Linked DNA regions of Stegostoma tigrinum. The protein of the gene in region 1 interacts with the protein of each later gene in a pairwise test. Links are inferred from orthologs where the notes say so. Each region holds a gene or a part of one and is shown in the gene's direction. Other genes may lie near its edges.

Region 1 (7,095 bases):
GATAATGGGAACTGCAGATGCTGGAGAATCCAAGATAATAACATGTGAGGCTGGATGAACACAGCAGGCCCAGCAACATCTCAGGAGCACAAAAGCTGACGTTTCGGGCCTGGATCCTTCGTCAGAGAGGGGGATGGGGTGAGGGTTCTGGAATAAATAGGGAGAGAGGGGGAGGCAGACCGAAGATGGAGAGAAAAGAAGATAGGTGGAGAGGAGAGTATAGGTGGGGAGGTAGGGAGGGGATAGGTCAGTCCAGGGAAGACGGACTGGTCAAGGAGGTGGGATGAGGTTAGTAGGTAGGAGATGGAGGTGCGGCTTGGGGTGGGAGGAAGGGATGGGTGAGAGGAAGAACAGGTTAGGGAGGCAGAGACAGGTTGGACTTCTCTTTCGATTCCTCCCACTTCCTACAGACAAAGGGGGTGGCCATGGGCACTTCCAATTCCCTGGCCCCCAACACCTCATTTTCACCATGGACGTCCAGTCCCTATACACCTGTATTCCACATGCAGATGGCCTCAAGGCCCTCCGCTTCATCCTGTCCCGCAGGCCCGACCAGTCCCCCTCCACCGACACCCTCATCTGTCTAGCCGAACTCGTCCTCACCCTCAACAACTTCTCTTTCGATTCCTCCCACTTCCTACAGACAAAGGGGGTGGCCATGGGCACCCGCATGGGCCCCAGCTATGCCTGCCTCTTTGTAGGTTACGTGGAACAGTCGCTCTTCCGCACCTACACAGGTCCCAAACCCCACCTCTTCCTCCGTTACATTGATGACTGTATCGGCACCGGCTCTTGCTCCCCAGAGGAGCTTGAACAGTTCATCCACTTCACCAACACCTTCCACCCCAACCTTCAGTTTACCTGGGCCATCTCCAGCACATCCCTCACCTTCCTGGACCTCTCAGTCTCCATCTCAGGCAACCAGCTTGTAACTCATGTCCATTTCAAGCCCACCAAATCCCACAGCTACCTAGAATACACCTCCTCCCACCCACCCTCCTGCAAAAATTCCATCCCCTATTCCCAATTCCTCCGCCTCCACCGCATCTGCTCCCAGGATGAGGCATTCCACTCCCGCACATCCCAGATGTCCAAGTACTTCAAAGACCGCAACTTTCCCCCCACAGTGGCCGAGAATGCCCTTGACCACGTCTCCCGCATTTCCCACAACACATCCCTCACACCCCGCCCCCGCCACAGCCGCCCAAAGAGGATCCCCCTCGTTCTCACACACCACCCCACCAACCTCCGGATACAACACATCATCCTCCGACACTTCCGCCATCTACAATCCGACCCTACCATCCAAGACATTTTTCCATCCCCACCCTTGTCTGCTTTCTGGAGAGACCACTCTCTCCGTGACTCCCTTGTTCGCTCCACAGTGCCCTCCAACCCCACCACACCCGGCACCTTTCCCTGCAGCCGCAGGAAATGCTACACTTGCCCCCACATCTCCTCCCTCACCCCTATCCTAGGCCCCAAGATGACTTTCCGTATTAAGCAGAGGTTCACCTGCACATCTGCCAATGTGGTATACTGTATCCATTGTACCCGGTGTGGCTTCGTCTACATTGGGGAAACCAAGCGGAGGCTTGGGGACCGCTTTGCAGAATACCTCGCTCAGTTTGCAATAAACAACGGCACCTCCCAGTCGCAAACCATTTCAACCCCCCCTCCCATTCTTTAGAAGACATGTCTATCATGGGCCTCCTGCAGTGCCACAATGATGCAACCCGAAGGTTGCAGGAACAGCAACTCATATTCCGCTTGGGAACCCTGCAGCCCAAAGGTATCAATGTGGACTTCACCAGCTTCAAAATCTCCCCTTCCCCCACCGCATCCCAAAACCAGCCCAGTTCGTCCCCTCCCCCCACTGCACCACACAACCAGCCCAGCTCATCCCCTCCACCCACTGCATCCCAAAACCAGCCCAGCCTGTCTCTGCCTCCCAAACCTGTTCTTCCTCTCACCCATCCCTTCCTCCCACCCCAAGCCGCACCTCCATCTCCTACCTACTAACCTCATCCCACCTCCTTGACTTGTCTGTCTTCCCTGGACTGACCTTTCCCCTCCCTACCTTCCCACCTATACTCTCCTGTCCACCTATCTTCTTTTCTCTCTATCTTCAATCCACCTCCCCCTCTCTCCCTATTTATTCCAGTTCCCTCTCCCCATCCCCCTCTCTGATGAAGCGTCTAGGCCCGAAACGTCAGCTTTTGTGCTCCTGGGATGCTGCTTGGCCTGCTGTGTTCATCCAGCTTCACACTTTATTATCTCAAGTTTAATTGGCTGGGATTTGGCAATTAGCACAACTCAAAAATTCTAGAGTAAAAAAACCTGTACGAATTTAACATGAATTCCACTGGGTGTATTGTGTAACAAAGTTAAGTGGAAATGTGTTGATTTTCACGTTCATACTTTTGCACTGATTTAATGTTTTCTATGGCAAACAGTGGTGGCGTGTTGTACTAGTAGTTTGTTTTTTTTTTAAAAAGGCATGATTTGCAAATGAAAGAAAAGCAATCCCTGGACACCCATACGTGATGACTTGACAGCAATGAATTTGTAATGTACTGACAGGCTCGTTCACATTTTTCACAACACTGGGGCATCCAAAGCCCTTTGTAACTTCCGGGGTAGTTTTTAACTGTAATTAATGTTGAAACTCCGTAGGTTATTCGTTCATTATTATTGCATCAGAAGTTGCTTGCTAACTTCCCCTTGCGTCAGTATCTGAACACGTACACTTCCAGCAATTCCCCAACGATCAGGATTGGAGTTCCCCCTTCCCCGCTCAGTTGCTATTCATGTGAAATGAATTGGACACAGTCCAAGTCTCCGCTTTGAAAGTTTAAACAGACTTGTTTTGGTCTGTCTCTTAGCATTAAAAAAAATGATTTCTCTTGTTTTGTCCCTGTGTGAGGATTAAGTTAGTGAATTGTAGCATTTTTCATTGCCTTGTGTCAGTGAATGAACAAATTGCATATGCATCACTCCAGAGATCAGGTACTAAAACATCACCAGCACGTGTCACTCAAGTTTGGAGGAAAGTGTATATGATTTCGCAAGCCCTCTTGAGATATCTTCATATTGTGTGAGTGAGTGCTGGAAAGGGTCATTGTGCAGAGTACGTACAATTAGGGGGCCTTTCCTGCATTATCTTGGCCTGGCCCTGGACTGTGAAGTGGCAATGCACTCGCGACTTTCTGTGACCCATCTGCATTCCAGCCCGAGAGAGTAGAAAGGATGATCCCTCAAAGAAAGCAATTTCTTCTCGAGCTGTTGGGGAGTTGACATGCAACTGTGCAGGTCGTCACAAAAAATTATATAGTTAAGCCTGAGAAGGTGGTGCTGTGACAGTAGTACTGTCAATGAGCTAGCAATCCAGAACCACAACACTAACGTTTGGCTTCATGTGGTGCATGCTATGACATGTACAGGCTGCAATGGGATCATGTTCTTTAATCCGTTCTCAAGTTGACTTGTACTCCAGTCTGAACGTGATTGTAGGACAATATGAAATAGCTTTCTTTTAAGTACAGGAAATATTTGTATGTCAGATGTTTAAAATTACACCTTAGTATGGGATCATGTTCATAAGTTGGATGTTTGCAAATTGGGGGGGCCCCAGGATATCAACAGGTTAATTACAAATCTGGTTGAGGAGGTGGTGGTACAGTGGTAATGTCACTGGGCCAATCATCCACAACCTCCTGGTGATCTAAGAGCAGAAGTTCAAATCACACCAGGGTGAATGCTGTTAAAGGGGAGGGACGGCAGTTGTGCCACAACGGTCCCGTGGACCCAGGTCCAAATCCCAGAGGTATGTTTGTTTGTCAACCCACGGGAACAGGATGATCTGAAAGAACATCTACACTAGAGGGCGCATGAGCTTCAGAAGGTTTGAAGTCAGTGGGCGGGGACAGGTGCGTGGATAGGGGCGGAGCAATTTGGGGAAGGGGCGGAGATAGCTGGGAAGGGGCGGGGTCAAGGGCTGGGGCGCGGTCGACTGGAAGGTGGGACTGACGGGTGGGGCGTGGCGGACGGGGAAATCTCGCGATATTCGTCTGCTTTGCTTAATGTTATTACCGGCGGTGCCGCGCGGCTTCTCTTCAGTTCGTCCTCAGTGCAGGACAACGAGAGCGAGCGACCCGGTTACAGTCAAGGTGGCCCTCGGCGTAGGACAACAGCGGGAGAGACCGAGCTATTTACAGTCCAGTTCGTCCTCAGTGTAGGACAACAGCGGACGGGACTGAGACTATTACAATCTAGCCTGGCTCAGTCGCACACCGCACCGATAGCCGAGGCATAAGAAGTTGCTGGAAAAGCTCGAGCAAGTCTGGCAGCATCTGTGAAGAAAAGAAATCCGAATTAACGTTTCGGGTCCGCCGACCCTTCCTCAAAACCGCTATCCGTAGCATTAATAACTGGTAAGGCACAGACATCTGTCGGTGTTTTCTTCCAAATGGGATTTGTTGGCTTCCTGCCTATCCGCGGCGACTAGGCCCTGTTATCCCGGTTACTCCGGCTGTGCTGCTGCCTGCTCCACAACAGGGACAAGGAGAGGGAGAGGTTCCCTTTTGCCTGGGGGATGGGATGGGAGGGGAGGAGAGGCGATAACCTTTAAACCAGCTTTAGCCAAGCAGTAGATTTATGGGCTCGGACTTCACGGGGTCTCCGAGGTGGGCTCCTGTGTCGTGCTTCATGTTCTCTTGTTTATGAAGCTGAAATGTTCCTCAGTTTTTTTCCAAACAAATGATCAGCTTGTTGATTCTCTTCCGCTTTCCGTCCTTTCACGTATACGGGAACTGTGGCTCTGTCAGGAATCATGGGCCCAACTGTTTAAAAATTGAGAAATGTTGGGGTTTTTTTCCGGGTTTTTTTGCCCTACATGGAATAGATCAAATTCTTTCAGAGGCGGATAAAGGTCATGTAAAATGTTAGGACCGCTCAGCTGATTAGGTTGCATTTGTAACGGTGGAATACAGGTGAAGAGTCATACGCCTGAAATGTGGACTTGGCTCCATTCTCCACAGGTGCTACTGATTTGAGTCTTTTCCAATGCTTTTCTGATTCCTCTGTAGTTGATGTGCTACTTATTGTAAAACTCACCTACTTTGTGTTTTAAATGAAGTGTCCTTTTAGGAAAAAAGGATATATATTTGCCAAACTTGTACCTGTTTATGTTGAGTACTCTAATGTCAAAATGTGCTAATCTTTAAAGTGCATAACTACCTGCCATACTTGTATTCTTTAGATGAATTTACAGGAGTCTGATATTCTATTTTGTATTCTGTTCACAATGCAGGGATTAAATAAACTCTACCTGAAAGTGTATACCTGCAACTATGAACTAGTTTATGGAGAAATACATTAATTTCTTGCTTAGATGTGTGATATCTATGTGTGAGAGCATAGATAGGTTATATGATTTTTAAAAGAATTTGAGGGTGAACAACACAATAATGCAAGCTTTGTCTTGTAAAGAAAATGCTTTGACTGCAAAGCAGATATTTTCAATGAACACTAATTTCAATCCCTAACATTAATTTCTGTCAGTGGCTTTGCACATTTTTTAGCTCAATTTTACAGCTCTTTTGTGGATAATTCACAATTTCAGTTGTGAACTGATGTTAGCACTTCCAAGCTATTTTCAGTTTTGAAAACATAGAAATTTTAATATGCCCAATGTCTCATTCTAGTTCATTGGTTAAAATAAGTGATATTACTGTGTCAAAATGCAGCTACTGTGAATGTTGCTCTTTAATAACACCGTTTACTTCCCTCTGACCTATTGTCACAGTTTTGAGAGCTATGAATAATAGACTTGCTCATCATGTTGCATCATAACATCATCAATCTGCAGTAAGATACAGTAGACTGGTCCTTTGTGACTCTGGCAGTTCCACAAGCTAATTGAAGGAGGAAATATATTGCAGAAAGTTATAATTATCCCTACACTTGTAATTTTGCATTTGACTGTACTATGTTTTTGAAATGGTGCGAGAAAGATACTGTAGGTGGGGTCTGAGCTTTGTGCTGTTTATGTGCACATCCAACTTGGATGCCATTAGACAATCTAAATAGATACAGTATACTGTTTCCTCCTTCACATTTGCCAGAAGTCTGGCAACAGAAAGTTTCAACATCCTGTTATGAGCCTATATTTCTAATATTTGGATTTTATTTTTGAATCGACTCAGATTTCTTTTTAAATGTTGAAGGCTCCCATTAGATAAACATTCTAAAGATTTGAATTCAACAATAGTCCAGTAAATCAAGATGTTAGAGCTTAACTGTTGTGACTAACTTAGAACAACGTGCAATTGATACAAATTCTGAAAAAAAAATTCTCAATGTAGCCTAAACAATGGTAGGATATTACCTTATTGGAGGTCTTTCAGGTCTCAAGTTCCTGGGAGTAGCTTATTTACTGTAGTATTCTCTACAAAAGTTGACTTTGTTTTCACCCCTGTTATCACTTTCAACCTGAGGGATCATTTGAGACGGAGCTTGTCTGACTGAGCTATAACTGAATCTTGCTTTAGAGATTACCGCTGACAGAAACATTAAACAGTTAGTAATCAGGCTTGGGGAGTGGGGGAGGGGGGTGGTAAATATCTAGAAAATGTGAGATTGTGGAAATTCTAAGTGGAGAAGTTTTAAAAAGTGGTGTTTTTGTTTGATCTGTCATTGGAATCTCTTGTTTTTAGAATCCCTAGGATCCAAGGAATTTCAAGAGTTTGAGTTAAAAATTGAATGGGCTTGAGATTTTCGCAACTGCCAGTTTTAAGAAAAAAACTCTGGAATATTTCCTAGTAAAATAGAATTTGAGCTCATTTACTGTAAATCAGTGGCCTTGGAAATTAAAAGACTGTTTAGTGCAGCTGGCGACTGGTACGGCTCCATGAAATCCTCATTTAAACAGGAGTTTAGCTCATTCAATTATCTGACGCCAGAGTGTCCGTAATTTATAAGAAATATTGAGAGATTGATCTGACATTGGTAAAACTAGGAGTTGTCACTTTATTTTCTTGTCACAAAGGTTCCAGTTACACTCAGGTTATTTTTACAGCAGGGTGAGAGGATAAA
Region 2 (6,751 bases), on another chromosome or scaffold:
AAACTTTGATAAGGTTACTCCTCAGCCTCCAATGCTCCAGGAAAACAGCCTATTTAGCCTCTCCCTGTAGCTCAAACCCTTCAGTCCTAGCAAAATTCTTGTGTACTTTTCTGAACTCTTTCAAGTTTCACAACATCTTTCATATAGCAGGGAAACATGAATTAAACGCAATATTCCAAAAGTGGCCTAACCAATGTCCTGTACAGCCACATGACGTCCCAACTCCTATACTCAATGCACTGACTAATAAAGGCAAGCGTACCAAACGCCTTCTTCACTATACTATCTACCTGAAACTCCACTTTCAGGGAACTATGAACCTGCACTTCAAGGTCTCTTTGTTCAGCAACTCTTCCCAGGGCCTTACCATTAAATGTACAAATCCTGACCTGATATGTCTTACTAAGATGTAGCACCTCACTTGTATCTAACTTAAACTCCATCTGCCACTTCTTGGCTCATCGGCCCCACCTGATCAATGTCCAGTTGTACTCATAGGTGACTTTCTTCGCTGCCGACGACACATCCAATTTTGGTGTCTTCTGCAAACTTGCTAACCATACCTCCTATGTTCACTTCCAAATCATTTGTTTAATGGAGAAAGGCAGTGGACCCAGCACCAATCCTCTGGCACACGGCTGGTCACAGGCCCCCAGTCTGAAAAGCAACTCTCCACCCTCACCCTCTGTCTCCTACCTTTGAGCCAGTATTGTATCCAAATGGCTATTTCTCCCTGTATTCCATGTAATCTTATCTTGTTAACCAGCCTACCACATGAAACCTTGCTGATTGCCTTACTGAAGTCCATATAGATCATGTCCGCCACTCTGCCTTCATCAATCCTCTTCGTTGCTCCTTCAAAAAACTCAATCAAGTTAGTGAGACACAATTTCTCATGCACAAAGCCATGTTGACTATCCCTAATCAATCCTTGCCTTTTCAAATAAATGTCAATCCTGTCCTTCAGGATCCCTTCTAACAACTTGCTCACTGCTGATATCAGGCTCACCGATCCGTAGTTCCCTGGATTTTCCTTCCCATCTTTCTTAAACAGTAGCACCACGTTAGCTAACGTCCAGTCTTCTGGCACTTCACCACTAGCTATCAATGATACAAATATCTGAGGAAGGGGCCCAGCAATCACTTACCTAGCTTCCCACAGAGCTCTTGGGTACACCTGATCAGGTCCACCTTTATGCATTTTAAGATGTCCAGCATCTCCTCCTCTGTAATACGGACATTTTTCAAAATGTCACTATTTATTTCCCCAAGTTCTCTCACTTCCATATCTGTCTCCACAGTAAACACTGATTGCAAAATGCTCATTTAGAATCTCCCCCATCTTCTGAGGCTCCACACATAGGCAGCCTTGCTGATCTCAAAGATGCCCTATTCGCCCCACCCCCCCAGGTTACTCTTTTGTCCGTAATGTATTTGCCCCACTTTTGGAATCAGCTGTTTTGTCTATGTTTAAGCCAAGGATGTAATGAGGTCATGAGCTGAGTGTCCTTAGCAGACCCCAAATCTAATATCAGCTAATTGACAACTATCTCTTAATCGCTCTTGATATCTGATCATTGGACAGGTTGGATTTGTTCTGCTTTTTGTTACAACATACTTAGGTACTTATCCAGCTTACTGGGCCAATGACAGTATTGTAGCTATACTGGAATACTTGGCTTCGGACTTAGCAAGGTCTGGAGCTCAAGTCTTTGGTATCGTTGCTGGAATATTGTCGGGGCAATAGCCTTTGTAGTATCTAATGCCTTCAGCCATCTCTTGATATCATTTGGAGTGAATCAAATTGGCTGAAGACTGGCATGCACGATGCTGCAAACCTCAGGGGAAGGATGAAATAGATCATCCAAGGTGGATGTAAATGCTTCAATGTTGTCTTTTGCACTGAGATGCTGGGCTGTCTCATCATGGAGATTATAGACATTCCCTTGCAAAGGCAACGTTATGATCACCACTGCCAATACACACGTGGTCAGATGTACCTGTGACGGGTAGGTTGCTCAAAATAATGTGAATTAAGTATTTCCTACTTGTTACATCCCTTGCCATTCGCCTTAAATCCAGTCTACTACATAATTTGGAATTTCACGAGAATGGCTATCTCTGGCTGTTGCTTGATTGGTTTGTTGTTGACAGAATTGACAGGGCTGAGTTTGCCATTATAGTTTCCTGTGGCTTGGTTGATGCTGGATAATCTGTCCGATTTAATTCCTTTTAGGCTTGATAGTGGTTTGATACAACTGAGTGGCTTGCTAGGACCATTTCTGAAGGGAATTTAGAGTCAATCGCATTGCTGATGTGGCAATGTTGGAAAGACCTCTGTATAATCCTCCTAGAGTGGAAGTCTTACGTTCAAACTGAGGATGCCTTATACCCCGTTGTCAATTCTACATGGCTACAGAAAAATCAGGACTGGTAATTACATGCAGCAGGGTATAAGATATTTAGATAATGAACAAATTGAGTTCAGTCTATGAATGAAGTTGAATCAATTAGCAAATGAGCCATTTAGAAATTAGAGACTGTAAAAAGTGATCAGTGGAGCAGCTGTATTTATTAGAGAGAGTACATTGGCAGCAGAAAAAAAAATTGGCGCAGCCATCAGTAAAACAGAAATAGCATTTTTGTGGATAGAGATAAGGTATAATAAGTTACAAGTTATAATAAGTTATAATAATGTATTCATCACTATCAATAAGGTAGTCTATAGGCTACCTAATAGTAAAAAGGAGGTGATGGAAAAGCTATACTAACAATTACGGTAATTAGCAAAAAAAATTATAATTGAGGAGTTCAACAATGCTGAAATGGTGAATGTGCAGAATCCTTTCTAACCCAATATGAATAAAGGCCAATAAGGGGAGATTCACTATTGGATCTGGTAGTGAGGAATAAACAAGAGCAGATAACACAAGTAAAAATGGGGAGATATTAATGCTTAACTGGATGGAACTTAGGTAGACTTTCAGAAGATGCTGCATAATATAGAGCATGCAAACTTAAGTGATAAGTAGCAGAATGGATAGATAGCGGGCTTCAAGACAGTAAGCAGCAGGTAGGATTGGGGGATAGCTGTTCTAAGTAGCAGAAAGTGGGCAATGAGCAGTTTTGGGAACTCTGTGGTTCACAATCTCTATGTGCTTTGGAACTTAGAATTGAAAACACAATTTCAAAATTTGAATATGACACCAAATTGGGGAAATGGTCAATAGGGAGGAGAGCTACAATGGAGCTCAACAAGATCATACAGATACAGTGCTCCAAATATGGAACCTTCTGAAGCGAGAATTATTTGGGATTTTGAATTTTAAGGTGATGATGTAAGATGAATGTGAAGGAGCAACTTTTACGCACAAAGGTTATTAGAAATCTAGAACTTTCTCACAAATAAAGCTGCTGAGGGTAGATAATTTGGATATTTCATTACTAAGACTGTTAGAATCACACAGCATAGGCCCTTCAGTCCCATCAAATCTGCACTGACAAACCTACTCTAAATCGATACTAATCTCACCTGTGAGGTGTCTCATCAACTAACCTCACTTGTGCAGATTCCCACTAGTCTCTGGGTGAAAGTCTTTTTCCTCAAATCCTTCTTAAACCTCTTGTGCTTCACCGTAAAATTATGTCCCCTTGTTAATGACCTTCAACCAAGAAGAACAGCTGCTTTCTATCCACCCTATCCATGCTCCTCATGATCTTATCTCTCTCTATTAGGTCCTCTCACATAATTCTCTGCTCTAAAAAAAGAGCCTATCCAGACTTTCTTCATGGTTAAAATGCTCTAATCCATGCAATACCCTGGTGAATCTCCTCTGCACTTCCTCCAATACAATCGCATCCAACCTATAGTGTGGTGACCAGAACTGCACACCGCACTCCAGCTGTGTTCAAAACAAAGTTTTGTACAGCTCCATGCCATATTTGATAAGATTTGCAAGTGTCCCATATGCATTAAAACTTCCATATTAACCTGTCATACCACCTTCAGGGATCCCTCGGTTTCTCTGAGTTTCCATTGCTCTGCCATTAGGTTTCTATTAGGTAAGGGTATGAAGGGATGTGGAACTACTCTTAGTAAGTGGAGTTCAGATACAGCTACTGTAGATCAGTCAGGAGATAATTGCTTAATGAAACTGGCTGAATAGGGCTGAATGTGCCACTTCTGTATTGGGTATCAAAGCTTTGCACAGTCAAAACTAAAGGTGGAAAATTTGCCCAACAGTTACAACTGGTCATAAAGGGCCTTTGATGTACCCTAGAGTCTGTGGTAATTTGCTTTGCAGAGCTGAACCTGATGCTCTACAGGAGTGATTCACCTCTGGCTTTGCTGAATGAATTAACAGAGTTGACCAGGGCCTTTGGTAGGCGGTTATATCGAAGGTGCCATGAGGATCCCCATAAGAATCATAGGTGCCACAATGGGGCAATCAAATGAAAATCAAGTCCAAGCAAGGACAAAGGAAACATTTCCAAGTAAATGCAATGTTGACAAGGCACTCTGAGCTGTTCAACAGTTAGTGGAAGGCAAATTCCGAGTCCATTTTTCCCTGGAGCTTTTGTAGTTCTGCCTGCTTGCACCTAGCTGTGCCACAATCCAAGGTTACAGCTTGGGAGGGCACCTGATCAATTGTCTACATGCCCTTCCCTCTCTCTCTCTCCACCCCCCCCCCTTTCTCTCTACCCCTATCTATGTATCCATCTATCCATCCCTATCGCATCTCATCCATCCCCAACCCCGTCCCCATCCCCATCCTTCTCCCTTTGTCTCTTCTCGGCTTCATTGATTAAATCGACACGATCTCCCGCCCCCGCCCCTTGAACCATATAAGAGCAAGAAGGGGCGGGACGAGGTGGGCGGGGCAGGCCCTGGAAGGGGCGGGTCCCGGACTCTATAAAAGGGCTGAAGCGGCGGCGGTGGCTATTGTTCGTGGATCGAGCGGCGGAGAGCGGTCAGTGGGGGCTCGGAGGGAGAGACACAGACAGACAGACAGACGGTACGGAGGGAGCGGCACCGCCCCGGGGGGTAACCAGGGAGCGATACGATACCCCATCCCACACAGATCCCCACCGCCCACCCCGGGGGTACAGAGGGCGCAGCACAGACTCTTACTCCCCCACCCAGACAGACCCCCACACACCTCACCCCCTCAACTGGGGGGGGGGGGGGTAATGAGGGAGCGGCACCCCCACCTCGCGTCTACCTTCTACCACCCCTCACCGGGCTTGCCTCCCCAACCGTATCGCTCGGTTCTCACTCCGCGGGTGAGGGATGGGCCCCTCGTCCCGCCGTCTTTGTCTGGGAAATCCCACCATAATGTGTCCCGGAAGGTGGGTGGGGGACGCTTGGAGATAGGAACGGGGGGTGCTGAGTAAGAAAGTGGGATGGCGTGGGGAGGGGGTGTGGGCAGTGGGATGGTGTGGCGTGGGGGTGCTGAGTAAAAATGGGATGGTGTGGTGTGGGGTGGGGGTGTGGGCAGTGGCGTGGCGTGGGGTGGGGGTGCTGAGTAAAAAAAAGTGAGGGGGGTGTGGGCAGTGGGATGTGTGGGGTGTGAAATTTGATGGTTTGGGGCAAATGGGAATGATATGAAAATAATTCTCTCCTTGTTGTTTACTTCATTTATTGCGCCTGTGACATGGAGAATTTTGGAACAAGAGATTCTTTAAACTCTGTATTCCATACTCTGCCAGTGCTATAAATGTACAGGCTGGTGTTAAGGCTAACTTTTTTCCCCTCAGATTTACTGAAATGGAAGAAAAGCCTGACTTCAGGGAGGTTGCCTCCTTTGATAAGAGCAAGTTGAAGAAGACAGACACAGAAGTGAAGAACACTCTCCCTACAAAAGAAAGTAAGGAATGTGTTGGGATTGTTACTTCCTCCAGCTGTTCCCTCAATTAATTTAATCTGAGTTTAATTTATTTCTTTTCCAGCTATTGATCAGGAGAAGAAGGCAGAGAGCAACTAGATTGTGGCCATACCTGCCGAGAGTCAACTCTGTCCATGGCTGCAAGAATCTCTAGGGTGCTTTTTTTCTCCTTGCTTTTTTTGAGAAAAGAAATCACTGATCTATACTGTGAACTGAACTACTGACAGAGGTGAAGCACTACAAAGTGAAGGATCTGGGGCTTCTCATCCCCTGTTTAGTCATTTCTGCTGTGGTCCTCATGCATTCCTCGGTGCTGTAAAGGAAATGAATAATAAAAATTCAATTTGTGCTGAATGTTGTCTTTCCTTTGGTTTCAGCAAGGCTTCACTTGTTTTAAATTTCCTAAGTAGGATCAGATAAGAATAGAAGTGTAAAATGATGATGAAATTGGGATAATTTGGTACTAGCCTAAAAGTTTGTTTGGCATTGTGTTGGCAGAATGACAGACAGACTCTGTACAGGCTGTCTAAACCTGTATCGAATTTGAAGCTCTCAATATTCAGGCCCTTTTAAACTTACCAAGCAGTGCATTACAGTGGACAGCCTACTGTATCTGCTTGCACTATTCATTTTCATCTGAAGAATCTAGCTTAATTGGTTAGAATCCAACTTCCCCTTCAGGATTCAAGGAGTGAATGCCCTGAGTATCCAGAAATGACATTATTAAAATTAATTCTGAGAAAGAAAATAAAGAAACTTGTTATCCATTCTGTGCTTTTAATTGGGAGCTGTGTATTTGTGCTGGTGCTGATGCAAGACATTTGCAATTGGATTAATGTCTGATAAGAGCACTTCTATGCGGTTAT
Region 3 (7,934 bases), on another chromosome or scaffold:
CATTGACTCCAGTTTTGCTTAGACTCCTTGAAATCACATTTAGTTGAATGCAGCCTTGATGTCAAGGGCTGTCACCCTAACTTCACCCTCTGGAATTCTGCTCTTTCATCCATGTTTCAACTAAGGCTGTAATGAGGTCTGGAGCTGAGTGGCCCTGGCGGAACCCAAATTGGGTGTCACTGAACAGGGTCTTGCTGAGCAGGTACTGCTAGATAGCACTATTGATGACATCTTCAATGAGTTTACTGACAATTGACAGTAAACTGATGGAGTGGCAATTGGCTATGTTGGATTTGCTCTGGTTTACTGGCCACATTCCTTCAGATCTGTCTCAGGCTTCTTATCTCTAAGGACAGTGTGAATTCTACTAGTCGTTGCACCACATGCAGTTTATTTTATCAAATTCAGTGCTTCTTCTAATATTTCCCACTGTCCTAATTAGATGCGTGAAAATACAGAAGATAATTACTTTTGACTAATTGCTATAAGGTTAATTTCTATTATAAATCTAGTTATAAAAACTAAAGTTGTGCAGCTACTTACACTCTTAGCACGTTGTAATTAATGGGTTGTGAACATTCTATCTTGCTTAGGGCATAAGATTAAGTGTTTCCTGAGCCTAATTAACTTTCACATCTAGGTTTAAACGCTTTTCCGCTAATGCTTACATTATACGTTGTTTATATATTGAAAACTACTTCTATGATTAAGGATACTTAAACTAGAGTCTATTTAATATTGCAGATAGTTTCAAAGAAGCAACTATTTACTACAAAGTAACTTTAGCTGTTTACTTTTGCAGTTGCCGAGGGACTTAATCTAGGACCTCATGCTATTCATTTACTGGAACAACCATCCTTTTAAAATAAGGTTAAAATTAGTCACTTATCTGTCCTTAGGCATCCTTTTATCAGAGCTTCCTCAGATGGGAGCACACAGCATTCCTTTACTGACCTTCTGTCTGCTTTGTTCAAAGGTACCATCGTATATCATTGTGTGAACAGGCTGCTTAGTTTTGAAAAGCTTCTGTATGCCATTTTGTAAGCAGGCATGGACTATTTTGCCCCTCCAAGTACTACTTCTGAAATGTGGTGAGCACCCATGATCTTTGCAGTAACAGAATGATTTGGAGACCCGTGGCTGAGGTACCCTGACATACCATCAGTCACTCTGTCAAATTGTCAGTCTGTCATTCAGTCATTCTGTTAGTCAGCCTATAACCCAGGCAGTTAGTTTGTATTTTCCCTGACTGTCCCAAACGCAGTCAGTCTGCAAGATAACAAAGTGTGGAGCTGGATGAACACAGCAGGCCAAGCAGCATTTTAGGAGCACAAAAGCTGACATTTCGCCCTAGACCTTTCATCAGAAAAGGGGGATGGGGAGAGGATTCTGAAATAAATAGGGAGTGAGGGGGAGGCGGTCTGAAGATGGATAGAGGAGAAGATAGGTGGAGAGCAGAGTATAGGTGGGGAGGTAGGGAGGGGATAGGTCAGTCCGGGGAGGATGGACAGGTCAAGGGGGCAAGATGAGGTTAGTAGATAGGAAATGGAGGTGTGGCTTGAGGTCGGAGGTGGGGATAGGTGAGAGGAAGAACATGTTAGAGAGGCGGGGATGAGCTGGGTGGGTTTTGGGAAGCACTGGGGGGAGGGGAGATTTTGAATCTTGTGAAATCGATATTGATACCATTGGGCTGCAGGGTTCCCAAGCGGAATACGAGTTGCTGTTCCTGCAATCTTCGGGTGGCATCATTATGGCACTGCAGGTGGCACCAGGATGGACATGTCGTCTAAGGAATGGGAGGGGGAGTTAAAATGGTTCGCGACTAGGAGGTGCAGTTGTTTATTGTGAACTGAGCATAGGTGTTCTGCAAAGCAGTCCCCAAGCCTCTGCTTGGTTTCCCCAGTGTAAAGGAAGCCACAACGGGTACAGCGGATGTAGTATACCACATTGGCGGATGTGCAGGTGAACATCTGCTTGATGTGGAAAGTCATCCTGGGGCCTGGGATGGGGGTGAGGGAGGAGGTGTGGGGGCAAGTGTAGCACTTCCTACGGCTGCAGGGTAAAGTGCCGGGTGTGCTGGGGTTGGTGGCAAGTGTGGAGCGGACAATGGAGTCCCGGAGCGAGTGGTCTCTCCAGAAGGCTGACAAGAGTGGGGATGGAAAAATGTCTTTAGTGGTGGGGTGGGATTGTAGATGGCGGAAGTGTCGGAGGATGACACGTTGTATGCGGAGGTTGGTGGGGTGGTATGTGAGAACTAGGGGGATTCTTTTTTGGCGGTTATTGCGGGAATGGCGTGTGAGGGATGAGTTGCGGGAAATGCAGGAGACTGTGTCGAGGGCGTTCTCGACAACAGTGGGGGGATCTTGCGGTCCTTGAAGAACGAGGACATCTGGGGTGTATAGGAGTAGAATGTCTCATCCTCAGAGCAGATGTGGCGGAGGCAAAGGAATTGGGAATAGGGGATGGAATTTTTGCAGGAAGGTGGATGAGAGGAGGTGTATTCTAGGTGGCTGTGGGAGTCGGTGGGCTTGAAATGGACATCAGTTTCTAGCTGGTTGCCTGAGATAGAGACAGAGAGGTCAAGGAAGGTGAGGCATGTGTTGGAGATGGTCCAGTTGAACTTAAGGTTGGGGTGGAAGGTGTTGGTGAAGTGGATGAACTGTTCGAGCTCCTCTTGGGAGCATGAGGCGACGCAGATACAGTCATCAATGTAACGGAGGAAGAGGTGGGTTTTAGGGCCAGTGTAGGTGCAGAAGAGGGGCTATTCCATGTAACCTACAAAGAGGCAGGCATAGCTGGGGCCCGTGTGGGTACCCATGCCCACCCCCTTTGTCTGTAGGAAGTGGGAGGAATCGAAAGAGAAGTTGTTGAGGGTGAGGCCAAGTTCGGCCAGGCGGATAAGGGTGTCGGTGAAGGGGGACTGGTCGGGTCTGCGGGACAGGAAGAAGTGGAGGGCCTTTAGGCCATCTGCATGGTGACTGCAGGTGTATCGGGACTGGATATCCATGGTGAAAATGAGGTGTTGGGGACCAGGGAATTGGAAATTCTGGAGGAGGTGGAGGGCGTGGGTGGTGTCATGGACGTAGGTAGGGAGTTCCTGGACCAAGGGGGAGAAAATGGAAGCCAGAGAGTTGGAGATGAGTTCAGGGGGCAGGGGCAGGCGTAGATAATGGGTCGGCCAGCGTAGGTGGGTTTGTGGATTTTGGGAAGGAGATGGAAGGGGGCAGTGCGGGGCTGGGGAACAATGATGTTGGAGGCTGTGGGTGGGACGTCTCCTTAGGTGATGAGGTGTGAGTGGTTTGGGAGATGATGGTTTGGTGCTCGGGGGTGGGATCATTATCCGGGTGCGGTAGGAGGAGGTGTCGGAGAGTTGGTGTCTGGCCTCGGCGATGTCGAGGTCAGTGCGCCAAACTGCAACTGCGCTTCCCTTGTCTGCGGGTTTGATGGTGAGGTTGGGGTTGGAGTGGAGGGCAGCACGTTCTGCAGGACAGAGGTTGGAGTGGGTGAGAGGGGTGGAGAGGTTGTGGCAATTGATATCTAGAGGGCAGTTGGAGATGAAGAGGTCAAGGGAGGGTAGGAGGCCTGAGGGTGGTGTCCAGGAGGAGGACTTGTGTTGGATTTCACAAGCTTCAAAATCTCCCCTCCCCCCACTGCATCCCAAAACCAGCCCAGCTCATCCCCACCTCCCAAACTTGTTCTTCCTCTCACCTATCCCCTCCTCCCACCTGAAGCCACACCTCCATTTCCTACCTACCAACCTCATCCCGCCCCCTTGACCTGTCCGTCCTCCCCGGACTAACCTATCCCCTCCCTACCTCCCCACCTATACTCTCCCCTCCACCTATCTTCTCCTCTATACATCTTCAGTCTGCCTCCCCCTCTCTCCCTATTTATTTCAGAATCTTCTCCCCATCCCCCTTTTCTGATGAAGGGTCTAGGCCCGAAACGTCAGCTTTTGTGCTCCAAAGATGCTGCTTGGCCTGCTGTGTTCATCCCGCTTCGCACTTTATTATCTCAGTTTCTCCAGCATCTGCAGTTCCCATTATCTCTGTCTGTCTCATATTCAGTCAGTCTCTACTCTGCGTGTATGTCCCACGCTCAGCCTTTGTCTGTTTGTTTGTCTGTCCCACACTCAGTCAGGTGGTACTTTGCCTAACTGCCCCACATGGTCACACTATATTCTGTCCACCTGCCTGTCCCACACGTCACATTGTTCTCCCCTCAGTCTGTATTCTATGTGTGCCACACCCAGTCAGACTGTAATCTGTCTGCCTGGCCGACCTCACCCACACTCAGTCTGTATTCTATGTGTGCCACACCCAGTCAGACTGTAATCTGTCTGCCTGGCCGACCTCACCCACACTCAGTCTGTACTCTGTCTGTTCTACACCCAGTCAGACTGTAATCTGTCTGCCTGGCCGACCTCACCCACACTCTGTATTCTATGTGTGCCACACCCAGTCAGACTGTAATCTGTCTGCCTGGCCGACCTCACCCACACTCAGTCTGTACTCTGTCTGTTCTACACCCAGTCAGACTGTAATCTGTCTGCCTGGCCGACCTCACCCACACTCAGTCTGTACTCTGGCTGTTCTACACCCAGTCAGACTGTAATCTGTCTGCCTGGCCGACCTCACCCACACTCTGTATTCTATGTGTGCCACACCCAGTCAGACTGTAATCTGTCTGCCTGGCCGACCTCACCCACACTCAGTCTGTACTCTGTCTGTTCTACACCCAGTCAGACTGTAATCTGTCTGCCTGGCCGACCTCACCCACACTCAGTCTGTACTCTGGCTGTTCTACACCCAGTCAGACTGTAATCTGTCTGCGTGCCCCGCCCTCTCCCATGTTATGAAACTTTTGCCGCAGTTATTTTGTACTGTTTGTACAGCCTTCTCCCCTCTCTCGGTCTCCTCCAATGACAGCTGCGCTCTCGAGCACGTGCCAGCCGCAAGAGGGGCGGAGAACGCATGCGCCCGTCACTCGAGCGATGTCAGTGGTTCCGTGCGGAGCTCTTGTTCCCGGACCCACCGGCGTTGTCCATCCCGGGAAGAAGCCTGGGCCCACGGCTGGGGAACAAAGGTCATTGCGGCCTGACCAGTTGCGTGACCTGGTGCACTGTCTCCTGCACCGCTTCAAAAGAAGAGCTGGCGGCCCAAACGGAGCTGGTGTCCCGGCTGGGGAAGGCCTCCTGGAGTGTGGCGGCTGTTGTGGGGAGTTGCTGGCCGAACCTGTCACCCTGCGCTGTGGGCACACCTGGTGCCGGCGCTGCCTGTGGAGGAGACCTCGCTGCCCGGCTTGTGGCGAGGAGGTGGCCAGCGCTCAGTTTCTGCGACCGAACGTCATTCTGAGCCACTTGATTACTAAGTGGTTCCCGGCGGAGGTCAGCCTGGCCCGGGATAAAATCAAACTGGAGGAGCTGCTGGCCCAGTGCCGCTTCTCAGAGGCATTGACCCTGCTGGAGCAACTGGAACTGAGTGAGTGGGGACACTTGGTGTACTTAGAGGTCTCTTTAAGGTTCACTCCCTGTGACTGACTGTTCCCGTTGTGTAAACGGAACCGTGTGTTTTATAAATGGAGACTGCCCCCGCCAAGAACTCAACTCCTCCAGGAGACTGATTGGCGTATTGTTTCTTTTACGGTTTTTGCACTTTGATTTCTGCTCTCGGACCGTAAGGATGAAGCAATGACAACTTCTGTTATTCATAGGCGTGCAGCCTTTCCCTTCCAAGAGGGCGGTGTTCTTGTTATGTAAACAGTACTTACAGTTGGTTACTCAGAAGTGACTGTGACACTTTGTTGCGTTGAGTCCCGTTTATTTGCCAGGGCATTTCTTGCAGCTTCTCTTTCTGTATTCTGAAATAATCGTGCAATCAAATAGGTTAAAGTGGAGTTTGTCGGGGGTGGTGTAAAATGTGGTAACCGTGATCAAATCATTTACGTTTTCAAAATTCAGTGGGCAGTAAGAGTTGCTTCTATTGTGTGACATCACTGTTTCCAGTTTTTAATCGGTTTGAGTTTTGATTTGCACTGGATCATACTGTACTTGCATTCTCAGACGGTAATGAAAACAAGCGTCCAACTAGGCAGTTAAAAATGTGGAGAGATGACTGTCGAGAAAGAGGAATTGCCAGACCAAATCACAAGCTTGAGAGAAGTCAATAGTAATTAAAACTGAACAAAGTAATTTGTTTTCAAGATTGAAAATGTCATCTTCCCAGAATTTGTCAGACCATGTTTTTTGCCTTCATGAGGTGTAGAAAAAGACATGACTGAGACAGTGACCCTTAATGCCTATCATTTTATTGCTCATCATTGTCCTTGAACAGGTGGTGGTGAACTAGCTTCTTGAACTACTGCAGTGTTACTCTCATCACAATACTAAATCTTAAAATATCCCAACTCCTAGTTGTTTCTTCATCATACTGCTGGAAGATTGCATGCTCTTCATTATTATTGCAGATTAGGTTTACCCAGTCTATGCATAATTGAATTCAACCAATATTATTGTATCGCTCTCATTAAATACATTTCTAATGTCCTGATTTCTACTGTGCCCAACGTTACTACTTGTACTGTTTGGTGGCCTGTTTTTTTAAAAAAAACTTGTCAATATTTGCTGTCCATTTCTGCTCCTCACCTCTCCTACACCTTGATCCTTCAATGTAGGTTCCTTCCTAACTATTATACTGATCACATTCTTCATTAAGAGCACTATCCCACCTCATCTGTCTTTTCACTTATGCCTCTGAAATGTTGAATAATTGCAATTCCCAATTTTGGTTACCCTTTAGTTACATCTTTGTAATAATAAATAAATTATACCTGTTAACTTGAATTCGTGTCTTTAAAACAGCAACTTTATTTTTAATCATGTGTACATTGATAGGGTACCTTTAATTCTGCCTTTTTAACATTATTTTGCAGTCTGCTATTTGATGTTTGCTTTCACAACTTTTACTTTGTAATTTTGTGTATTACCCCTTTATTTCCATTGCAGTTTTGTTTCCTCCAATGTGATTTCCCACAGTGGTTCCTTTTCATCTGCCAGTCCAGTCTAAACCCTGCCCAACTGCGATAGCAATTTTCCTTGTAAGGATATTAGTCTTGGCTCCATTTTGATGCAGGTCCACCATCTTATTGAGGTGTCCTTTGCGCAGAACTGGCCCTGATGCCCGCATTTTGAATCAATCAGTCAATCTATTCTTCTGTTCTCATGCTGAACTGGGAGTAATGATGTCCTCGTTCTTCAAGGACCGCAAGTCTCTCTCCCCACCCCCCCCCCCCCCCCCCCCCTGCCGGTGGTCGAGAACGCCCTTGACCATGTCTCCCACAACTCATCCCTCACACCCCACCCCCCACAATAACTGCCAAAAGAGAATTCCCCCTAGTCACCTCCAACCCCACCACACCCGGCACTTTCTGCTGCAACTGCAGGCAGTGCTACACTTGCCCCCACACCTCCTTCCTCACCCCCATCCCAGGCCCCAGATGACTTTTCACATCAAGCACATGTGTACCTGCACATCTGCCAATGTGGTATACTGCATCTGCTGTACCTGTTGTGGCTTTCTCTACATGGGGGAAACCAGGCGGAGTTTTGGGGATTGCTTTGCAGAACACCTACACTCGGTTTGCAATAAACAACTGCACCTCCCAGTCGCGAACCATTTCAGCTCCCCCTCCCATTCCTTAGACAACATGTCCATCCTGGGCCTCCTGCAGTGCCATAATGATGCCACCCATAGGTTGCAAGAACAGCAACTCATATTCCACTTGGGAATCCTGCAGTCCAATGGTATCAATGTTGATTTCACCCACCTCAAAATCTCCCCTCCCCCCCACTGCATCCTAAAACCAGCCCAGCCTATCCCGACCTCCCTGACCTGTTCTTCCTTTCACCTATCCCTTCCTCCCACCTCAAGCCACAC
Region 4 (7,949 bases), on another chromosome or scaffold:
TTGCTCTCACCGCAGTTCTCCGAGGCTGTGCTAGCACTAGTACTAGCCATCATATGCATTAACTCTAAGGTTCCGTCACAATGCATTGCATGCTGTGTACACCATTAAACTCCGAGACTGCTATTGGCACAGCGGTAGTCTGTCTACCTCTAACCGAGACAACCCCAGTTCAAATCCCAACTACTCCAGCGGATTACAGATAGTTTATTGCAAAAATACACTTTATCGTGAAAGAAAAATCTGTAAGTAGATGCGAAAGGTCCCAGGACAATTCTGTAAAATCTGCGAGAAAACATAACCACGCACTGGAATTTGACATTGCTGAGAACTTCCTTGCAGGTGCAAAACAAAGGTATTTTCCAATCAAGCAGGAACTATTTGCACTCATTTTGAGGAACGAAGAGCATCTGAAAACTGAATGGACGGTCATTATACTTTAGCTGGAAGACCTCGGACGGTGGTCTTTCCCCAATGAACTTTGGCAGCAGTTACCCTGAGCCTTACTGTCTCCTTCAGCACACAGTCCTGGACTTTGAAATGTGCCAGTCTGCAACACATGGTCAAGGTGAACTCTTTCCAGTGGAAGACTAATAAGTTTCCTTTCACCCTGTTGATGGTCCTCAAGGCACAGCCAATGTTTGTCTTGCTGTATGTGCTGGCGAACAGGCTGTAGAACACAGAGTCCTGTGTCATGGAGCTGCTTGGGGCGAACCTTAACAAAAACCTACATTTCTCTGCAAAGGCACATTCCAGAAGGAGATGTGTGACAGTCTTCTCCCTGCTGCAGTCGCTTTGAGGGCAGCTTGTGGTAGTGGAGAGTAGTTGGCTACATTTTAGTGCTTGTTGTAAAGTACTGGTGAACCACCTGAGAGGATCAACCCTCTCCTTTTCATGAGGACATTACATGATGGACTTGTGGTCAAAGGTGTTTTCCTTCGCAAATTGTTCCACAAGGGACAGGTGAGACAGAATAGTCCAGCTACTTGAAGTGTCCCACAGCAAAGAGGCCAGACCAATCCTTTGCAACACTGGGGACAGGTAGAAGCTTAGTATGAAGTGACACTTGGTGTTTGCATACTGAGGATCTACACATAGCTTGATGTAGCCACACGTGAAGGTAGCCATGAGATTGAGGGCAACATTCTACATGCTGTCCACACAAACACAGACCTTCTTTGATCTCCAGATGAAGTGGAAGATGGCACATCTGACTTCAATGACATAGTCTCGGGGAAGACCTGTGCCGTATATGGCAACACGGAGGGTACCTCACACCTGATGACCAAGATTTTACCAGCAATTTAGAGGAAGTGGTGCTCCGATCAGTTCAATTTCTGCCTCACTTTGGAAATACACTCCTCTCAAGTTTGGGTGCATGCCTCAGTCCTTCTGAACCACAGTCCCAGCACCATCAGGTAATCTGACCTGACGATGAAGGTGAAAAAGGCTCAACTGACCCACTTCCCAAAAAACACAGCTTTATTCTTGCCGTGATGTACCTTGGCTCCTGAGGCCAGTTTGAACTGATCCCAGATGCTCAGGAATCTGTGCACTGACAGCAGATTACAGCAGAAAATGGTGCCATCATTCATGTATGAGGAGGCGTGGACCTGCAGCCTCTGCTCTTGTGAATAATTACCCCTCTCAAGCTTACATCCTTACTGAAGACTCTATGTAACACGTAAGCAAGGCAGGACAGACTGATAGCCTTGCCTGACCCCATATTTGATCAGGGAGTTTTCTGATTCCCATCTGAGGATCAGAAAATCCTTTTATGCCAGATTGTATGACACAAAGCCTACACACAGCACAGCCTCCCAGTTGTTCCATTGATTGAGACTGCACAACTGATGTTGGTGTACAGCAATCAGATCTAATTGCAGATTCCCTCCCCAAAGCCCATCTTGGACAGTATATCTCTCACGTAAGTGTGGAAAAACCTGTCAAAGGCCTTCTCCTGGTCCAGACTGAGGAACCAGGTGTCCACTCCATGGCCTGCACACAGAGGAGCACGAGGCTGTCTGAGATCTTCCTGCCTGAGACAGCACAGATTTTGTTGGAGTGAATCACCAATCACAGAGAAGACGCAACCTATTTGGTGATGATCTCAGGTAGGATTTTGTAATCCACAGTCAACAGTGAAATTGGTACCAGTTTCTAATTTCCTCCCTCTCCCCCTGCTACTTGTAGATGAGGGTGATGATACTCCTCATGCGTTTGCATATGTTACCTCTCAAACACATACTGCTATACACCTCCAGCAAATCCTGGCCAATCAAGTCCCACAGAGCCGAATTCCAATCAACTGGAAGGTTGTCACTTCCAGGAGCATTACTCTTCTCAAAATACTGGAGGGCTTTGGTCAGCTCATCCAGAGATAATGGCTGCTCTAACTTTTCATGTGTGCAGTCTTCTAAGAAATTGTACTGGAAGACAAGAATGACTGGGAGGCCTCTGGATATCTGACTGAGGTGACGTTATCGAGCCATCTTCCTTCTTCAGGCTGTTGGTCATGGATTTCTCCTTGTGCACCTTTTGGAAGAACGAACGTGAGCATGTCCCATCCTGTTTCACTGTGCGGACCCTGGAATAGCATTTAATCATGGAGGCTTTCAAGGCAAAAAACAAGGCTTACTGGCTCTTTATCTCTTTGAGTTCCCCCTTGACATTGACATCCATTGTCTGTAGCAGCAGTGGTTTTGCAACCTTTTCTGTAGATTGGACAGTTTTCCCCATCTCTCTCTCTCACCTTCTGGACACTTTGACAATGAAGGACTTTCTGATACAGCTTGGCTTCTTTAACTATTTCCATCAGGAATCTGTCAGCTCTTCAGGATTGTCCAGCCACATCAATAATGCAGTTGAAGTCACCGAGCAGAATAACCGGCCTGGACATTGCCAGGAGCAATGGGAAATGCTATAGATGGCCAGAAGCTCACTCTTTATTACCGGGACTAAATGTTAATTCATCTCAGGGGAGCATTTCTGTATACAACATCTGCGATGAAGTGACTGCTCAACACCTCCTTAACCTTGGAGATGGTGATGTTGCCTTTTCACAGCAGAATATTCAGGCCAGAGCATGTAATCCCCATCTGTAATATCCTTCTTTATTTCCTGCAAGCCTTGCCCTCCTTTTTGTTCCTTAAGAATCCAAGAGGATCTGCTGCACAATGAAATTCTGATTGACTGGCATATCTTCACCAGTCACCTGGCCTGGGGCTCAGGTGCTTGCAGCAGACATAACTTTGGTTGGCTGGGCACTAAATTGGCATTCAGCTGAAGGCAGCGTAATAATGCACCAACACCACCGCTCAACTCAACTGACAATACTTCAATGTTCAATCATGATCCAGTGATGGTCTCAAAAACTTCTGATGACTCGCAACTTGAAGCAGGCTGAGAACTCCACAGATGTATAATAACATTATAAACAGACTGACTTGATCAAAACCCACAAATATTGATCACACTGCAAATATTCTAGCTCTGCCTGACCTTGTTATGCAACTATTCATTTCACAAGTTTACATTTCCACAGCATTCATTCATACCAGAAAAGAAATCTCCAAGCTTTACATTAAACAGAAAAATAAACAGCAAAGAGAAAAGAGAAGGTGAAGAGATTGAGGGAGGAACTAAGGAAATAGCTTAATAGAATTTTTTTCAGGGTGCTTATGTGCAGGAAGCTAGATAACAGAAGCAGTCTCATGTTAAAGGAACACATTATGGTGGTGTAGCAGAAAAAAGGGACAAATAAAAAGGCCATCGTTAGTGAAGATGTGTAATAGTACATCTGGAAGTCACTAGTTTTGAGTTAGGTGAGATCATGGAGAAACTTTAAGTAATGGTGAGAGTTTTAAAGTCAATTCCGAGTGGTACAAGGGATCTGTGGAGTTCAGAATAAGTGAGAGAGCAATGAGACTGATTGGAAGAGGGTGATAAATGACTCTTTGTTTCAGAGGTTGGTAACGTTGCCTGCATGGATGAGTTAATGTAGAATGAAAGCTAAAATCTGGATTCACTGGAGCAGTGGTGTGGAAGGTATTTATCACAAATTTTAATCTACAGTTAATAAGGCATAACTGCTGATCAGTGAACTAAATCAAAATCACTTTCATGAAATGTCTTAAATACGGCCAGCATATATGTCTGACTCATATGCATTATAAACCACTAGATATTAGCATCGTGATAGATTTGATTATGCTGACAGTGGTTTGATGTCAATTAACTTTTTTTGTATTTAATAAAATCACACTTCACAATCATGCATCCCAAAAGGATGTGCAGTCTTTCTCATTCGTCAATGTGTATAAAACTTCTTTGCGACTCATAATTCGAAATGTTATTGGTCAAACTTACACTGTCCAAACTAGTGTCTTCTACCAGAAGATTGACCATCAGAAGATTGAAGGAATCTTTATCCATCACCTTAAATAATACTGTCACTTTAATCGAGGCTGACAGCAAGCTGTGTGGGCCACGAAGGCAAACAAAGTGAATTAGTTATTCTAGAGAGTGGATTAGTTAGCGAATGAATTAAATACCTACCGTGGTTAGTGCATAAATTATCACGTTAGTGAATTGGTTGTCTATTTAACAAATTACTGAATTAGTTAGTTAGTTCTGGGTTCTTTCAGCCACAAGTTGCTGCGCCAGTCCCCGCCTCCTGTAGATGCCGTTGTCAATGGAGATCCTGCAAACTCAGCAACCACTTGATCACCAGTCCCCCATCAAAATGAAAGTTTCCCTACGCGTGTGTTTTCGTTTCCCCACCCCTTGCAGTCTCCTGATTTAGATCATTAGACGGCAGTTCCACTCGACCACAGTGCTAACATCCGTGCCTGCCCATCCGCCGGCTCAGGCAGTCTGCCCGGGCAGCATGAGGGTCCTGTCCCTCTTCCCTTCTCGACAGGCAGTGCAGCGGGGCAGCCCAGGCTCTCAGGACCCGGTTGTTAGGAGCCGAGGCAAGATGGCGGACGTGCTGAGCGTACTGCGTCAATACAACATCCAGAAGAAGGAGATTGTGGTGAAAGGGGACGAGGTCATCTTCGGAGAGTTCTCCTGGCCGAAGAATGTGAAGACGAATTATGTGATCTGGGGGTGAGTGCTGTCCGCGGGAGTGCTGCATGGATGGATGTGGAGGGTGGAAGGTAAACATTGTGGGGTGGTCGGGGAAGGTGCAGCCTGGGGTGAGTGGAGTGGAGTGCAGTTGAGTTGAGTTTGAGCAGCATGTGCGGGATCAGTGGAGCTACTGGCGGACACCTGTCAATTTCACTGATCATATCACCTAACAAGTCACTTTCATTGTCAATTGTAAACAGAAAATGGAGGGAATTATGTTTGTTTATTCAGTACGGTCAGCCGTCGTGGCTTGGGGAAACTGACACTTGTATCACTCTTTAGCAACAAAAAAAAGTACAGATCAGAGTGATCGCGCCCCTATCTGAACAAATTCGGCGAAGAAGCTGTTGCCGCAAACTTTTCTTGACTTTTTTTTGCAATTTTTGTTAAGTTGTTTGCTTGACTTTAATTGATCAAAGCTGCTTTTTAAACAAACGCACGCGATTTTCTTTTGCAGAGGTGTTGTAGCCGAGTTTCTTAAATGTGCAAAAGACTTTTCGTCCACCAGATTGAATGCGTTGTAGTTTATATTATAAATCACCGATTGTCGGAGGAGATGTTGAATCGAATTGCTGTGTGCTGTTTCCGGTGGCTCTGTTTCATTTTAAGGGCTCTTTATCTTTATTGGAAGAACAATGCACTCTCCATATGCTAGCTCGTATCACTGACTGGGAAATGCAAGCAGCCCCTCTGTTTCACTGCATAATAGTTACTGCTAAAAGCCAAATACATCAAATGCTTTTGAGGCATTTTGAAGTTATTCAACAAAAGGAGGATGCTTTAGTGAGCCAGATGATTCACATTTTAAGACCATCCAAACAGCTTCCAAAGTAACTTTTCAGAAAATTTCAAAACTAGGCCTTGCGATTGCTTGATACAGAGTACACTTTCTCGTCATAGGATGTATCCCAATTATAATACTGATATCAGATAATTAAGTGTGTTCAGAATATCAGATATTTGCAGGACTACAGCTGAAATTGTTGCTTGCTAAAAATTTAGTGTGTGATAGTTTCCAGCTGTTAGACAACATGAGTACCCTTCTTGGGAAGCAGCTTTGACATTGATTTGGAATCGTGTGTCAATTGCAGGAAGGACAGCAATAACTATAGCAGCTGCTGGTGACCCCAAACGATCGGGTGCAATGGACCAGAGAGAAGTTGGCTCTGTTTTCAAACCAATTTTTGATTATTGATTCTGATCTTAGTGAATTAGTTATTCTAGTGAGTGGATTAGTTATGTGGTTAGTGAAATACTCAGCTATTGAATTAATTACCTACCATGATTAGTGTGTAAATTATGGTGTTGGTGAATCAGTTGTCTATTTAACAAATTACTGAGTGTATTAGTTAGTTAGCTCTGCGTTCTTTCAACCACAAGTTGCGGTGCCAGTCGCTGCCTCCTGAAGAAGTTGTTGTCAATCCCACAGACTGTGAACTGTATGTTATGACAGGTCTTGAGAGAATTAAATTTTGCTGATCTTAGGAGTAGAAAGAGCTGTTAGTGTATTGTAAAACTGATTTTACGCAAAACTGTTCAGTCCTGCAGTCTGTGAAGCTCATAAAAAGAGCAGTCCTGCTTTTTTAATTGTATTCCTAAAAATATATTAGTAACAGTTGTGAATTTTTTCAGTGACAGATTCCTGTTACTATTTAGTACATTTCTGCAGTCAAACAGTTTTGTATTTGGGTGTGAACCTTTTACTTAGTACTAATTTGTTAGGACTCTTACAAAACCTGAGCACAATAAGAACTCTAAAACAGTGCCTATATGTTGGGTTTGCACTTCTTGATGGTAGCTATTGGGTGAGGACTAGGAGGATCTGTTAGTACACTGCTTTTGCTTTTAGTTGTGACGTAGACTACAATGGAGCCCTGTGCCAGAAAATCATTTATGGTATGTAAATGTTTTTGAGAACTGTAAGCAAAGTGAAAAACGTGAATATTTTAAGGTTTGATTTTTCTTTCCCACATTAAGAATTTTGGACCAGTTTGCTGCTTTGTTACCTAAAGCTAATTCTTGCAAAGCTCTAAACAACATTTTCAACTGATTATACAGAACTGTGTAATCCGTTTTAGTTTTCTTTAATTCAACCAGTAAGTATTGGCAGGTGAATTGGCTGCTAAGAATCTTAGACTAGTACTTCCATTGCTAGAATTCTACAGATCTGTGTTGAACTGAGATCATAAATTATAATCTGGAGGGGAAACCGTAACAGAATTCCAGGCCCTGTTGTTGCTCAACAAGGGTGAAACTGGTTATAGTTCCTGAACTCATGACAGTATGAGTTGTCTGATTTTTAATTACTTACCAGTATGGAAACATTTGCTCCTTTTCAAAGTATAATTTTTGCAGGCAACCTAGAGTTTATCTAGGAATTGTGTGCATTTTCGCCATCCACATGAGCGCCATTCAGGAAGTTGGTTTAATGCTTCTTTGGATTTTTCACCATTTGTTTCAGGATACAATAAAATGTCAAATTTTGAGTCACTTTAAAATTGCACAGAATGTTTCACATTTTCTATGCTAAAGTAAAAGTCAACAGTATACCATTCCATGTCACGGCCAAGATTTGGTTTGAGATATGTTCTTCTAAAGGAAATTCTACACTGCCCTTATGATATTGAACAGAATACATCAAAAAATGAACCCAATAAGTTGGTATGTTATACTTGGGTCCTCAGTATTTTCATCAAATCTGATTTTTAATTAGAAACAAAATCGTGATTTAGTGGATTAATAGGTCTTTACTTCTGACTTTTGGGTAAAGCAAACTAAATGTCTGGAGAATTAACATGTTTGTAAACCAAATACATGGGGCA

The links.
Region 2: the proteins of alas1 (region 1) and thymosin beta-10 interact in binary tests that used the Homo sapiens proteins (3 or more experiments, as listed by UniProt). The two-hybrid records come from large-scale screens. The link is inferred for Stegostoma tigrinum from reciprocal best matches to the Homo sapiens genes ALAS1 and TMSB10.
Region 3: the proteins of alas1 (region 1) and lonrf1l interact in binary tests that used the Homo sapiens proteins (3 or more experiments, as listed by UniProt). The two-hybrid records come from large-scale screens. The link is inferred for Stegostoma tigrinum from reciprocal best matches to the Homo sapiens genes ALAS1 and LONRF1.
Region 4: the proteins of alas1 (region 1) and cdc73 interact in a two-hybrid assay, tested with the Homo sapiens proteins (3 studies listed by BioGRID and IntAct). The two-hybrid records come from large-scale screens. The link is inferred for Stegostoma tigrinum from reciprocal best matches to the Homo sapiens genes ALAS1 and CDC73.

The regions. Positions count from the first base shown.
Region 1 is NC_081364.1:23,022,667-23,029,761, forward strand, and holds the start of alas1 (5-aminolevulinate synthase, nonspecific, mitochondrial), read left to right. Parts: upstream 1-4,090; 5' UTR 4,091-4,433; intron 4,434-7,095.
Region 2 is NC_081356.1:13,022,628-13,029,378, forward strand, and holds thymosin beta-10, read left to right. Parts: upstream 1-4,892; 5' UTR 4,893-4,970; exon of another isoform or gene 4,971-5,015; intron 5,016-5,756; exon of another isoform or gene 5,757-5,757; 5' UTR 5,758-5,767; coding exon 5,768-5,867; intron 5,868-5,949; coding exon 5,950-5,984; 3' UTR 5,985-6,239; downstream 6,240-6,751. UniProt on the Homo sapiens protein: Plays an important role in the organization of the cytoskeleton. Binds to and sequesters actin monomers (G actin) and therefore inhibits actin polymerization.
Region 3 is NC_081354.1:109,818,006-109,825,939, reverse strand, and holds the start of lonrf1l (LON peptidase N-terminal domain and ring finger 1, like), read left to right. Parts: upstream 1-4,921; coding exon 4,922-5,480; intron 5,481-7,934.
Region 4 is NC_081361.1:34,774,193-34,782,141, forward strand, and holds the start of cdc73 (parafibromin), read left to right. Parts: upstream 1-4,929; 5' UTR 4,930-4,975; coding exon 4,976-5,106; intron 5,107-7,949. Other genes in the region: glrx2 (glutaredoxin 2), read right to left, coding at 4,366-4,431.